3 linked regions of the Lytechinus pictus genome follow. The protein of the gene in region 2 purifies or fractionates together with the protein of the main gene of each other region. This does not show direct contact. Links are inferred from orthologs where the notes say so. Each region holds a gene or a part of one and is shown on either strand. Other genes may lie near its edges. The genes, in order: DNA-directed RNA polymerase III subunit RPC8-like, protein POLR1D-like and DNA-directed RNA polymerase III subunit RPC9-like.

Region 1 (5,209 bases), on a different chromosome or scaffold from region 2:
ATGTCAATGAAGTAAAAGACAGACGGAATGGAGAAAAGGGAAATTTCAACACCTTGTCCATTTAGCTCCAGAGATAGTGTAGTGCCATGCGTGGAGCTATCCATGCTTCATATCATGCCTACAAAACGTTAGTGATTGATCGTAGGGCAGAATGCAACAGCTGATATTGCACTGGCTATTGTGCATAATCAGTAATAAAATCAAACTTTATGTTTTGTGTTCATGGGCCCACCTCGTGGTGTATTCTCGGGCACGCGTGGGAAAGTGTCGTAATTGGGTTCGCTGGTATCCCCATATCCTTGTCATTTTGTGTGTTGCAACCGGATTCATGATTTCTCCCCTCAGCACAGCGAAAATTTTGCAACCATCTCTGTTACCTCGTCCTGCCAACAATGATGTGCGCCGCCTACAGGCCGAAAAAAAAGAGGAACGTATTTTTTTGCAATTGAGTGAAATGAATTTTGCAACAAGAGTGAAATGTTTTACGTAGCGAGAGGAATGGATTTTCACGTGAGGAATGAATTTTACGTACAGTCTAATACGGCAGCCGCCGTCGTATGTGTTATCCAACAAAAGTGAAAGGATTTGTTTTCTCTCAGATTTAAAATGTAACAAGTGAAAAAGAAACTAGATTTTAATTCGTCGTGCGGACGAATTAGGTGGTCGGTCGTAGATAAACAGACATAATTATTCATACAAATGAGTGGATATAAGTATGAAAGATAAATAGACAGACAGATAGACATACATATTTAAACAGATACGTATAAGAAAGATAGATAAATAGATAGATAGATCGATGGATGGAGAGATAAATGATAGGTGGATTGATCAATAGAAGATAGATATATATTAATAAAAGGGATTAATATATAGATAGATATAAACAGATAAATAGGTATTAGATAGATAGACAGATAGACATTAGATAGATATTGATTGATGATAAAAAATACGATGAGGAGGATGATGCTGATGATTGATGGCAAATATGATGATGATGATAACGGTGATTATGATATTATATTTGATATACACATAGATTCAGAGACAGATAGATACATAGATACATACGCAGATAGATAAACAGATGGATAGATATATAGATAGAGAGAAAATAGATTGATATATTTATTGATAGATAGACAGATAGAATAACATATTTAACAGATTTAATAGATAGATATTAAATAGATAAACAGACAAATAAACAGACATGATTATTTGCACAGATCAATAGATATTAGATTGAAAGATAAAAGGTAGACATACAGATAGACATACATATTTTGAACAGATAGACTTAAAATAGATAGATAGATAGATAGATAGATAGATAGATAGATAGATAGATAGATAAAGATAAATAGGCAGATAGATAGAAATTAAGACAGATATACAGACATTTAAACAGCCGGATAAATCATTAGATAGATAGATAGATTGAATGATAAATAAACAGATATAGACATATTAAAATAAATAAATAGATATTAGATAGATAGATATAGAGACAGACAGATAGATAGATAGACAGACATATTTAAACAGATAATTGTTAGACAGATAGATAGAAAAATAAATAGTTCGAAAGATAGATAGATAAATAGACAGACAGATAGATGGATAGATAGATAGATTTAAACAGATAGATATATATTAGGCAGAGAGATAGATAGATATATCATGTAGGTAGATAGATAGATGAATTTTACGTACGGTCTAATACGGCAGCCGCATGTGTTATCCAACAAAAGTGAAAGGATTTGTTTTCTCTCAAAATTAAAATGTAACAAGTGAAATGATTCTTTTCAAAAGTGAAACATATTTTTTTTGGAAAAGTGAAATATATTATTTTTTGAAAAGTGAAATATATTTTTTTGAAAAGTGAAATATATTTTTTTGAAAAGTGAAATATATTTTTTTGAAAAGTGAAATATATTTTTTTTGAAAAGTGAAATATATTTTTTTGAAAAGTGAAATATATATTTTTTTGAAAAGTGAAATATATTTTTTTGAAAAGTGAAATATAAATTTCTTTGAGTGAAATGGTTTAGTAGAAGAGAAACATATTTTTTTCAAGTGAAATATATATATAATTGTTTCCCTATGGGCGTGCCATAGTCGAGCTTACAAGTTACACGATTTGCATTCACTTTTCTCGATTTAGGGTCCAAAGAAATCTTCTCCTCGGCGCCGTTGTATGTAAGTTCTTTTTGCATTTAAGTTTATTTCATCAATTAAAAGAATGAAAGTACCATGGAGTATGCAAGATTAGAAAATATTCATTTATTTCTTTGTTAAATCGAGGTAAATTTTGGTGATTCGAAACGTAACATGCAGAAGTTTAATGCTGTGTCCCATACGTAGTGATTTGTGTATTTGTTTTTTTATTATTATCATCTCAGTCATAGTCAAGCATAGTCATCATTAGACCAAAAGCTTCAGTCTCTGTATTTTGGTTGTTCCGCTGAACTACGTTGGCTCCACTCACCAAATACAGAGACCGAAGTTCTAGCGCGATCTGTACAGGGGACTCAATGGCCATATGTTTATGTACTTAAGATCGGATAAAACGGGGAAGTGAATTTGCGCGACAGCCGAGGTAAGTCACTGTTTTTGTTCCTTTTACCTTGATTTTTCTCCGTTTTTGGGCAATTAATGCCAAGAGGGAATATTAATTTGCATTTTGGTCGCGTTAATTTTCAAAATTTTTATTCATTAAAGACAAAAATTGAAGAGCCCCGACGGGGGGGATTTCGCATTGCAAGTCCCCTAATGGTGGCTGCACGCTAGCGAGCCGTCTGTGTACGAGAAGAATTAAAAAAAAAAAATGTTAAAAAACTCCTCGAAACAGACGGATGGCAGCTGTCTAAGTCATCATAATCTGGTATATTTCCAGGGTTGGGCGGTAAATACCGGTAGCGGTAATTACCGGTGGTAAATACTGGTAAATACCGTCCGGTAAATAAGATGGGCGTCCGGTAAATATGGAAAAAACAGGAAATATGATTTATAATTCTTTTTTGTCTCGCCTGCATAGCAGAGCGAGACTATAGGCGCCGCTTTTCCGACGGCGGCGGCGGCGTCAACATCAAATCTTAACCTAAGGTTAAGTTTTTGAAATGACATCATAACTTAGAAAGTATATGAACCTAGTTCATGAAACTTGGACATAAGGTTAATCAAGTATTACTGAACATCCTGCCTGAGTTTCAGGTCACATGACCAAGGTCAAAGGTCATTTAGGGTCAATGAACTTAGACCATGTTGGGAAAAAAATTTTCAAAATCTGAACCGAAGGTTAAGTTTTTGAAATCACATCATAACTTAGAAAGTATATGGACCTAGTTCATGAAACTTAGGCATAAGATTAATCAAGTATAAGTGAACATCCTGCTCGAGTTTCAGGTCACGTGACCAAAGTCAAAGGTCATTTAGGGTCAATGAACTTTGGTCAAGTTGGGGGTATTTGTTGAATTACTATCATAACTTTGAAAATTTATGGATTTAGTTCATGAAACTTGGACATTAGGTTAATCAAGTACCACTGAATATCCTGTGCGAGTTTCAGGTCACATGACCATGGTCAATGGTCATTTAAGGTCAATGAACTTTGGCCGTGTTTGGGGTATATGTTAAATTACCATCCAAACTCTGGAAGTTTATGGATCTAGTTCATAAAACTTGGACATAAGAGTAATCAAGTATCACTGAACATCCTGTACGAGTTTCAGGTCACATGACCTTGGTCAAAGGTCATTAAAGGTCAATGAACTTTTGCCGTGTTGGGGGTATTTGTTGAATTACCATCCTAACTCTGAAGTTTATGGATCTAGTTCATAAAACTTGGGATATAAGAGTAATCAAGCATCACTGAACATCCCCTGTGAGTTTCAGGTCACAAAACCAAGTCAAAGGTCAGTTAAGGTCAATAAACTTAGGCCATGTTGGGGTAATTGTTGAAGTGCCATCATAACTTTGAAAGTTTATGGATAGAGTGATTGAAATGTGGACATGGGTGTACATGTAGTTGACAGTCTTAAGTCTCCGTTCAAATGTCATTTATGGTCAATGAACGTGGTATTATGTCATTATATGAATGATGTTTTTGTGAATGATTATTTTATAGTAGTTTTCAAAGTTAGCACTGCTGCTATATTAAATTGCGTAATGCAGGCGAGACTGCCAGAGGCGTTCCACTTGTTTTCAATAATTTTAGTATTTTTTTTAGTTGTTTTTAACCTCAACAAATGAAAGTAGTGTTCTGAAATAATTAGAATCACAAAACTCATAGTAGCTAGAAACACACAAACAGATAAAATCCATACTGCATACATGTACATACCCAAACACACATAGGATCTAAGTCCACACATACGCACACAAACTCAAATTATGTTCCTGGAAATTGAATAATCATATTAAAACATAAACAAATATTTCTCTTGGGGTTTAACTTTTTACATGCCATTGTATCTCATTACAATATGATTTTTGTTTTAAGTGTGAATAAAGCTCTGTATTCTACTGTATGTAAGGAGTTTTAGTGTTTACATGTATGAGTGTGTACTAGTGGTTGCTGGTTTTGAATTTTGATATTGCTTACAGAAAAAGATCTTTTTGTAGCCTAAACAAGGCAAAAGCAATTTTGTGTCTCGCCCACTTATGAAAATAACCAGAAATATCGTAATTTGCGAGGGCACGCAAGAGAATTATATCAAACTTCATTGTGAAATGACTGGGATGGAATAACACTTGTCATAAGAGCCTTGCACGTAAACTTTAATGTTGACCTGAAAATGACCTTTGACCATACCATGTGACCTCCAACTGCAGCATAACATGCAGCTCGCCTAAGTACACCTACCATCCAAGTTTTGTTGAAAAATAACTCACGGATGCGGAGTTAGGTGTCATAAGAGAGTCTTGCATGTAAACTTGAACGTTGACCTCAAAATGACCTTTGACCTAACCATGTGACCTCTGACTGCAGCATAAGATGCAGGTCCCCCAAGTCCATCTACCATCCAAGTTTGGTTGAAAAGTGACTTACAGTAGTGGAGTTATGTGTCATTACAGGTTTGTGACAGACGGACGACGGACGACATTTGGATCCCTAAGTCTCGCCTTCACCTCTGGTGGGCGAGACAAAAATTACAAAAATTTGCCATTTTTGTCTCGCCCACCAGAGGTGAAGGCGAGACTT
Region 2 (5,209 bases):
TAAGATAGATATTCGGCAAAAAAGTCTGACAAAATTTGAGCTGAAATTATTTTCCTAGCATCGCCAGATCGGCCGATGCGAAACTGTATTAACACTCTAAACCTGTCATTGACATTAGAACGTCCAAAATATACACTACGTCGGCCTAGAATCTTATTATACTAGCACAATTAGCTATGCATGAGCATCAATTCTCTCCGTATTTACCTGTACGTACATACCTCCTCACGACCGAGTCAAAGGTCAAGTCACTGTGTTAACATGTGGAAACTGCAAACGAGGGAATCTTCTGGTAAGAAAATTTTAAATTTTCACCTTTTCTTTTTGTTCTTTTTTAAGGCACTTACGTGCATTTAGAGTATAAAGGCTTACGAATTGGAAAAATTACATGTTTTCCCAACAATTATTGTGGCAAAGATAGATTTCCTAGGGAAATCCATCTTTGTTTTGATGTCTCCTCGCTGAGGACCGTATGGGCAGGGTGTCAAGGCTCCATGATGTAAGTATAGTCTAGATGTCAAATTATATTTTAAAAAAAAACCTCATCAAGGAGTCCTCAAGGCTACTAGGTCAAGAAGACTAGAGTAGAGCCAAATTCAAGATTTTGAGTGCTCATGACGAAAAACTTCCATTTGAGAACACTATACCCCAGTTTCCCTTCTCATCAATTCTCTTCTCCAAGTACGACAAACTCTAACTGCCCCAAGCAAGCAATTTAAGTATCAAAACACCTGTTTCTTGACGTCGGTCCGAAGATAACACAACAGCCCGGCATATACAGTCACAGCAGGGGGCCACACACGATGGGATGCATGCGCAGCGCTGAGCTCGGTTTCTGCAAAACATGCCGTCATTTTTATTCGCTTAGTCCGGCTTACTTTCCTTATTAAGAGGCTGATTTTCTTCGTTCGAAATTGAAAATGGACTAACATTGGATTACTGAATACAATATGCCTTTGAAAACGTGATTAAATATCGAATACAATAATTTCATTCCGAAGGTCCTACTACAGGCAGAGAAGCCTTACGTAATAGCACAGCTGTTGTTTATCTTTTGGTCCTTTGCTCAATGCTCATATACTGGCATGTGGAGGTGAAATTGAGACAGCGGGGATTACCCCTGGATTACCTGGCCAAGCGCGGTTGATAAGGGCTTGGAAATGATATTTGGGAGATCCACATGAAAAATGGGGTATAACACCGCAGTTTGCAATCTGAACTGCGGTCTTTCTCCAAACGGGGGTTTGACGTAATGTCTGGAGACTAACGTATAGACTAGTACTAGTAGAAAAGTCACTCATTCAATGAACAAGGTTATATGATATTAGTTACCTTGTTCTTAGACCAAAAGCTTCAGTCTCTGTATTTTGGTTGTTCCGCTGAACTACGTTGGCTCCACTCACCATACATAGACTGAAGGGGATGGGGCCCCGTACCTACAGCCAACGTATAGTGAACTAGCGTTTTATAGATCGCGATTTAAAACTGTTTTTTAAGCAAAATTGAAAGTTTCATGGTTTCCATTATCAGGGAAATATAAATAACTTAAGTAATTGCATACCTTGGGCCGGAGTTATTGAAAAAAATCCTCTGGATGATTGAGAAATCTGTCATCTAAGACATTTTCACCTGACCTGACGGTTTTTCTTGCAAGTTGCCATCTTGAATGACGTCATTATCGTTATTAACTTAATGTCTCGAATCGATATATCGCGATTATAACTAGTACTAGTACTAGTATCGTTTATCTTCGGTTTCGTTCGCATATGGAGCAGATCGTATAATATCGAAAGCAATATCGATATCACATTCGTGATTGTTGACGTTCGTTTGTAAATATTTTATAGTTTGGCTGCCATTTTGACCATTTTTATCGTGTTCAACCCAATTAAACATCGGTAAAGTATATTTTTCATGCCTTTTTCATCTATATCGTTTAAAGTATGTAAATATTGAAATATCAAGGTTCAAAAGTTTGTTGTTTATACATCCTTAGATTGTAAATTCGATGTGTAAAATTACATCAAACTTTGGACTGTGAATTGACAAAAGGGAGGGAATGAGAACACATGCGAGCCCACACGTACACCCTACCGTCGGTAAATGGGGATTACAGTAAAATGTCAGAAATTGTTGAATAAATCCCCAGAAACGACGGTTATTCCTGTCTACCTTGTTCTCTGTTACTACTCCATGTGTGGCAAAATAAGGTTGGCAATGTTTGGCTTATTTTCTCTTTTTCTTTGGGACAAATGCTTGATATTTTTACACTGTCAGTTTCCATTACACTTTACAGCTATTCATCATAAATATTATAACTTGGTCTTAAGTAAATTTGATTCTTTAAATTATTTTTTCTTAAAAATAGAGATTGAAAAATGACAATTATCTTGCCATATTAGTAATAGTATTACTTTCCACAAGAGGGCATACACAAAATTATGCCCAAAATTCAAGTTTTCAAGCGCTCTGGTGAATACCGTACACAAATTACGGTACCGGTACTCCCAAATTACTAATAAAAAATAAATTGCAACTGTATGGAAATTAGAATTTTTGGTCACAAAAGTGATATTTTAATGTCTGAACTTTTAAGTGTGTGCTGTGTACTGCATTGGGCATTGGCTTACCATAGATCTAGTACAACAAGTAACGTTAGATCTAACGTTAGATTCCACAGGCAGGGTGATTGCAGTGAACAAGTGGCAGGCTCTCAGACTCAGTCACGCGCCGCGCCGGCTCCGCCGGCGTGAGAGTCTGCCTGGGTTAGCACCACAGTAAATTAATGGTGTGGGACAAAGGTAAAACTAAAGACTCAAGTCAAACAAACGCTCTTTATTTTTCGCCGATTAAATTACAGACCCCCTCTTGTTCTCTTTTACAGTAACTCCCACATTTTTAAAGTACATTAAAGTACGAATGACATGTTCTTTTACCAAATGGAAATACACTGTCAGTCATCGCATAATCACGACAAGGACTTCTCAACTCTGCGCTGTTCGTTCGTGAAAGCAGACAAATAAGTGAACGCAGCTGACTATATAATTTCAAGCACGTCGCGTCATAAGTACAAGTACGGTACGGTATACAGTCCGCTTGAAACTTGTCAGCTACGTTCACATGGCCTACATGTAGCCTGTTCCAACATAAACTAATGCAGACCTTTTGGAGGGGGCGAAGATGCCGCCCGACCCCACTCCCCGATTGGAGGGGCAAAAAAAAAGTAAAAGAAGGGGGTAGGGAAGAAGGGGAGAAAAGGATGGGAAAAAAAGATAAGAGGAGCCAAAGTGAATGATTCTTTTTTTAATGAGATTCTGCTTTACTGACATGACTGAGGAAAAAAAACACCTCGGTATAACATGGCCGGGGGACTAAAGTATCCTGTTTCCAATCCTGCCCGCGGTTCGAGTTTTAATTATTTTTTTTCACCGAGATACCCACCATCATGAATTTAAAAAATGCTGAAAAAATGGAGCTTGCGCTACGCGCTCGCAGTCACATGCATACAATCTTGTTATAAAGTGCTTAACACGTTCCCTCTTGCGGTTCAGTATATAAATTTTAGCTCGCGCTTCATGGTTGTATTTGTTTGAGATACTAGTGCTCAGCTAGAGATTCATTTTATTTATTTTAACGCCAAGTTTACCTATTGGAAAATTACAAATTTTCAATTTTGGCTTCGCGCTCGCATCATTTATTTAGGAAGATACATTCTTTTCATGATTACAAAGAATATTTGTCCCGTTTTTAGGTTTTCGGCTTGCTCTTCGATCGCGCTCGGCAATTATGATTAATGTTTTTTTTTCATATATTGTTATAAAAAAAGTGCTTAACCTATTTTTTTAGGTCGAATTATCAAAATAATCCTGATAATGTTTACAAAAATTGTTCAAAATTGTCAAGTGTTTCAGGTCGAGATAAAAAAATCAGTTCGCGCTTCGCGTCACATTATATGGTTGGTGAGATTTGTTCCTCCGCATGAGTCACTGCAAATAGTTCAAAGTATGGCCCTTTTCGGGTTTGTGTATTAAGATTTCAGCTCGATCGCGGTTAGCCCTCACATTAATTGTTTATAGAGACATACCCATCTCGATCTTAAAAAAATTGCTTAGAATGTCAAAATTCTTCCAGTCGGAATATAAACAATTTAAAGTTGATGCTTCGCGCTCGCATTATTTGGGAGGTGAAATATGTATCCTTCACATGAGTCACTGCAAACAGTCCGAAAAGTGGCACTTTTCAGGTCAGTGTAAAAAAAAATTCAGCTCGCGCTTCGCGCTCGCATAAATTTTGTTTCTAGTTAGATACGTATCTTGATCATGAAAACAAGAAATGCTTAGAATGTTCAGATCTTAGATCTGACAATAATGTCTACATGAAATAGAGACAAAGTGGAATTAGACCAGCCATCTTTATTTTTTGCACCAACAGCTTCAACGTTTTCGCACTAGGACTTACCTTCCCTGTCTACGCTTCATGTTTTGCTTTGCTCTTCTAACCATTGTGGGACTGTGACGAAGAACATAATATGTCTCATGCTAAGCAGGTGCCTGCAAGTCACCAAGGATGTGTTATACACAAAAATTTCAGAAGCATTTACTCGGAAAATGGTTAGAATAGGGGATAGAATATCATTGAAAATTGCAGTGGGAAACCAACAAATAGCTCGGATAAAGTTCGCTCTCAAAAAACAATATCTCGGTCACCCATGACATAAACAATGTGTCATTTAAAGTCAGTGGCGTAACAGGCGGGGGGGCAGGGGGGGCAAGCTGCCCCCCTCCCAGGACCAAAATCCAATTGAAACCAGTTGGATTTCCAATTGGTTTCAATTGGTTTCAACTGGTTTCAATTGGTTTTAACTGGAATATAACAATTTCCAGTTGAAACCAATTGAAACCAGTTGGGCAACTGGAAATCCTAACTGGAACCAGTTGGGTAACTGGAAATGACTTCCAAATGGAAATGATTTCTAACTGGAACCAATTGGGTAACTGGAAATCCTAACTGGAACCAGTTGGGTAGCTGGAAATGACTTCTAACTGGAAATGATTTCTAACTGGAACCAGTTGGGTAACTGGAAATCCTAACTGGAACCAGTTGGGTAACTGGAAATGACTTCCAACTGGAACCAGTTGGGTAACTGGAACCAGTTGGGTAACTGGAAATCCTAACTGGAACCAGTTGGGTAACTGGAAATGACTTCTAA
Region 3 (5,209 bases), on a different chromosome or scaffold from region 2:
AAGAACTATTTAATCAGTAATACGAGCGTGAAGCACGAGATGAAATTTTTAATAATAATAATATTAGGCATTTATATACGCCATCAATCTAGAAATAATCTATTCCGAGCCGCATTGTTTAATATTATTATTACCCCCACTTTATTTTAGCTCGAGCTGCCTTTCAGCGCTAATTGCATTCAAGAAATTAATCCTATATACCGGATACCCATTCACCTCACCTGGGTTGAGTGCAGCACAATGGGGAAAATTGTTTTGGAAAAATAGAAAACTAAACAAATTTTGATGGAAAATAAGAAAGAAAAACTGATGGTTATCATGCATTTTCATATCACTACCATCATGGGCGGAAATCCCAGAGGAGACAGGGGAAGCCCCCACCCCCCCCCCCCACTTTATGATATGTTTTATGCCGGAAAAATACTTCATTCAAAAACGAAATAATACATGTATCCTTGAATCTTTAATATAATATCATTTTCTGAATATTATGTCAAAATCTATAACAAAATTAGATTTTTGTTATAAAACTATTGAAATTTTTGCTCGCTCGCCTAGCTCTCTTGCAACTTTTATAAATTTTACCCAATATGTGCCATATCTAGCCCCCAAAAAGCACTCCTCTTGAAAAAAAACATATTATGATCATCGATCATCTTCAACTTCCTCCTTATCATCATAATCATACTTGCCATATAATCAGTATGATATTATTCTGTAAATTATCGCGGGATAATACAGACCACCCCTTTTATTATATACATATTTTTATTTGATAGCATTTATTCCATTCATCATAAAAACCAGAACAAAACAAGGTACATGCAAAGTTAACATATATTACAATTTATGTCAATGAAATAATTCAATGATACAAATCTGGAAAACATTTGAAAAAAAGAGTATATATAAATGAATGGGGAGGCAACTAGAAAGGCAAAGCCTTATTAGTGCTGCCACCTTTACAAAACTGGAAACTGAATATGTAATGTAATAAAAATGTTAATACTGAATACCAGATATAAACATTGAGCATAAAAAGGGGGAAATACAAATTTTGACACAATGACAAAATATATAGACATAGATGTATATCAACAATAATTACTATAAAAACGAAAGAAGAAAAAACACCTGAATATACGTTATTAGAATATTTGCTTAGAAGTTGGGTTTTATATCTCCTTTTAAAAACATTAAATGATGGACTAGGTTTAACAGAAAATTGTAATTATTCCAGATAATTGGTTCTTTGCTAAAGAAGTGCTTTTTTTAGTTAGGTGGAAGTCTGAAGATCCTTGCGTATTATAATAATGAACATCTATGACCCAGTAGCCACTGATCTGTATCTAGTCTATATAGTGTAAAGATTAGTGGATCAAACTGGAATTCTATGTAAAACTGAGGCAAATTTTCATGTCGGTCATAACTGAAAGATACCATACCGAAAACTTGAATAACAATGCACAAAAGAAAATGATTGGGACTACATAACAAGCTCGCTGTAGCCTTCCGAAGACGCGACCGAAAGACCGAAGAAGACAATGGAAGTGTAAGTATTTGTTAGGGAATATGATAACAAACATCTCATTTTGTTATGCTGTATGCACGAAAGGTGATTTTTATTCTACTTATTTAGTCAAATTTATTTGGCGTGTTTGGAAAAGCAGAGTCGGACGTCGGTGACGTGCATGTGTGACTGTGGCCATGGTGCCGTGGTTGTGTCTGTGAGTGAGTGTGAGTGAGTGAGTCTCACTTGCACTTGTCTTACCCCTTTCATAAACCCAATCATGCGGCTAATAGCAGCATAATTTGGTTGTAAAATCGGAGGAGGACCAGAGTTATCCGCTTCATTTTGATGCTGCAATTATCCGCATAATAGCGGCATCGGGACCAGATTTTGACTTTATGAACGCATGTCCAAAGTACAATTACATGACATACCGTTGGCGTTATAGATTATACGGATAATTGCCATGCCCATGGCATGATGGTGCGGTCACAACTCACAAGGTCACCCTTTTCCAACACAACTGCATCGGAGGGGGTGTGTGCGGTTGCCATGACGATTATCCCCCTTTTTCAGGACGGGCGCTCGTAAAAATAGTGCGGATTATTTTCGGAGTTTGTGAACGCAATTTTTATTGAATTATCCGCATTACTCTTAGCCTTAGGCTTAGGCGGCTAATTAGAGGATGGGTTTATGAATATGAAAGGGGTATCAGACTCAGATCAGTGAGTCTGACTGATGTGACGTTAACCCGGTCCCGGGGAGCTACGGCCCGCTTCACGGGCCGGAGCCCTGGGGGCCGTTTCATCAAGCTGTTCGGAAGTTAAGAGCGACTTTAAGAATGACTGGTGAACCTTTCTTACGCGCTTAACCATCACCAATGAATATACCATTTTCCACAAGAAAGGATCACCAGTCGTTCTTTTAAAGTCGCTCTTATTGTCTTAACTTAACTTATGAACAGCTTTATGGAACACAGTGACACACCCGGACTCGTCCATGTAATTAGCCAGGAGGCTCTAAGTCCTAGAGGAGTAGAGAGCTAAAATCATTTACTAACGTATGCTTACTCTCCAAGGAGCCAGGGATTCCATCCCATTCATCTGCGTGTACCGCCAAAAAACCTGAAACTTTCGCCCCCGAGATTTCTACTTTCCTTCCAAGCATGGGTACTCTCCAAAATAGGGTAGAATTAGCCTGGAGGCTTCTGGAGAGTAAAAGTCATCTACTATACGTAGGCTTACTCTCCATGAAGCCTTGGTCGGGATACCATTGCTCTACACATACCGTAGGTGTTCCCACGGTGAAATTAGACCTAAATCACACATTTTATTAGGGTTTTGAGCCCAAACTAACGTAAATGGGCCAAAACAATATTTACCCCTGAATATGATAACGTTGCGTCTATTTATTCAGTAAATAGTAGTAAATTAGAGAAATTATTAAGAGTACGAGCGTTTACTTACCCAGTCTGTTATTTTCGCCGTCTTTGTTATCGATACCTAGATACAAGACGCGTGTATAGAGGGCGACAATATCATGAGCAGTGCCAATTTAGATTTTAAAAAAATACTTGCATCGGCCGATAAATATCATGAATCGTTAAATACTTGCATTGGCCGATAAATATCATAAATCTTTTATGATATTTATCGGCCGATGCAAGTAAAAATAAAAATATATGTACATGTAGAATGAAGTTTTTGCTTCCTTGTATTTTAAAATGAAGGGTTCATTTTTCTTTTATTTACAGGATCAAAGAAAGTGCTGCTATGTTGAGCAACTTTGAGGTGAGTAATTTTAAGTTACCCTCAAGCTATGGTGTTGACTTTTGGTTTTGATAGCATAGTAAGAATGCTGTCACCAGTTGTGGTGGGGTGTAAAAATAAATCGGTCTGTATAAAGTAATATTTACACTGAAAATTGAGAAATACATGCTCAAACACACATTTTGAAAGAAGAATGATTATGTACTATGATTATTTTGATTAGAGTCACCAGAGAATTACATGGAAAAGGCACCTTTTTTATGCCAGAATATTTAGTCATGAAAGAGTGTATAAAATAAAGTGTCTGATGCTATATCAAATGCACAGATAAAATTGTTTTCAATTTTCTGACAAATTAGAATAATTTAGATTTTATTACTGTTGCTGGGGAGCTACTTGCATGTGATGTCACAAAATTAAACTTTAACCGATCTGTATTCTTATTCCTGAATGGATTTTTCCAAACCTTCATTAATACATTTCCCTAATTTTCTGCTTCTATCCAAATCAAATTGATATCAGGGTTAACTTTCCTTTAAATTTACCATTTCAAAGACAGAATACAGAATGTGATGCCCTTTGACCCCTATGCCTTGAACCAGAGTTTCCAACTATTAAGAAAAGTCATATTTTTTATGATTTTCATGTCAAATTACGCCATTACACTTTTGGCCTTAATTATTACGCTTCTGAGTTATAGTAGGTATGTACACATTTAATACACGCATAATAATACATCGTGCAGTGGTGATATTTACTTACCTGACTAGGCAAGCTAGTGCTTTACAAAAGTTATGTTGCACCCTAGATTAATATTCCTGACAACCGTCCTGTTGGGTTGGAAAAACATTGCATTTATGCACATTGTGCATCTGTTCTATATACCTCTAAGAAATTTATCATACTGTGTGGCACATATGAAATTATGACTTATCTCACAGTTATGTCTTTTGAGCTGCTGGAGTACTACTTGCAGCTCTGTTGAACTTTCCATCTTTCTTTGATCTTTCAGGTCCATGCTCTGCTTAAAGAATTACAATCGGGAAGCTCTCAGAGAGGGAAGAAGAGCATCAGTAAAAAGCAGCAGAACCTTGCCACAATATCCTATGAGGTATGTTATGTAACTATTCTAAAATCAGCCTGTTTGAGACTTATCCCAAGTACATGTAATCTTGGGATGTAGTCTATTGAGAATTTTCATTGCAGCAAGTGCATCTCTGATTCTAAATAGAAGAAAATTGAAGACAGCATTGCAAATAAAATAAGTTCCTCTGTGTTCCCCATTTTCATACCAAAAAAAAAAAATCCAAAGAATTTAATTAGTATAATTTGATCTTATTGAGCACATATTCGAGGCTGAATAAATTGATTGGATGTTGATTACTTTCTTTATATATTATTCGCATATGAGCAAAGTGAATGATAAAAAAAGAGCAGTAAGATCCGTTGGAAGAAAAAGTTTACATTCCTTTATCTTGATTGATAGAAAATTATAGCTCACCAGGAGATTCTATTCTCTTAATTACAAAAATTACTAATAATAAACAAATTAAATAATTTTTCATCCAATTGAATGTTGCATTTAGATGAATTGTTTAATGCATGATTGATTTTAAGCATATATCCATGGTAGTTAGCCCCCCCCCCCAAAAAGAGAGAAAAATGTTTATTCAAGTTTTTAATGATTTTTTTTTAAATTATTTGTTTCCTCAATAGATGTGTTGGTGATTGTTTGCATGATGCACTTATTTGGCAATTAAGCTACTGGAATGTAGTCAGTGTAGCTCAGGCAGGGACAAGTGGGCACAGTGCCCCCCCCCCCCCCCACCTGACACTATTGACACTATATGAAACTGAAAAACCAATATTTTAAAATATATATATATATGACAAGTTTTTCAAGATATTCCAATGCCAGAATGTCATATTT

The links.
Region 1: the proteins of protein POLR1D-like (region 2) and DNA-directed RNA polymerase III subunit RPC8-like purify together in Homo sapiens (affinity purification with mass spectrometry; 6 studies listed by BioGRID and IntAct, with this or other methods). This does not show direct contact. The link is inferred for Lytechinus pictus from reciprocal best matches to the Homo sapiens genes POLR1D and POLR3H.
Region 3: the proteins of protein POLR1D-like (region 2) and DNA-directed RNA polymerase III subunit RPC9-like purify together in Homo sapiens (affinity purification with mass spectrometry; 5 studies listed by BioGRID and IntAct, with this or other methods). This does not show direct contact. The link is inferred for Lytechinus pictus from reciprocal best matches to the Homo sapiens genes POLR1D and CRCP.

Annotation. Positions count from the first base shown.
Region 1 is NC_087254.1:6,939,234-6,944,442, reverse strand, and holds the start of DNA-directed RNA polymerase III subunit RPC8-like, read left to right. Parts: upstream 1-2,115; 5' UTR 2,116-2,205; intron 2,206-5,209.
Region 2 is NC_087249.1:40,694,449-40,699,657, reverse strand, and holds the start of protein POLR1D-like, read right to left. Parts: upstream 3,059-5,209; 5' UTR 2,937-3,058; intron 1-2,936.
Region 3 is NC_087246.1:31,254,138-31,259,346, forward strand, and holds the start of DNA-directed RNA polymerase III subunit RPC9-like, read left to right. Parts: upstream 1-1,446; 5' UTR 1,447-1,544; coding exon 1,545-1,552; intron 1,553-3,263; coding exon 3,264-3,300; intron 3,301-4,291; coding exon 4,292-4,390; intron 4,391-5,209. UniProt on the Homo sapiens protein: DNA-dependent RNA polymerase catalyzes the transcription of DNA into RNA using the four ribonucleoside triphosphates as substrates.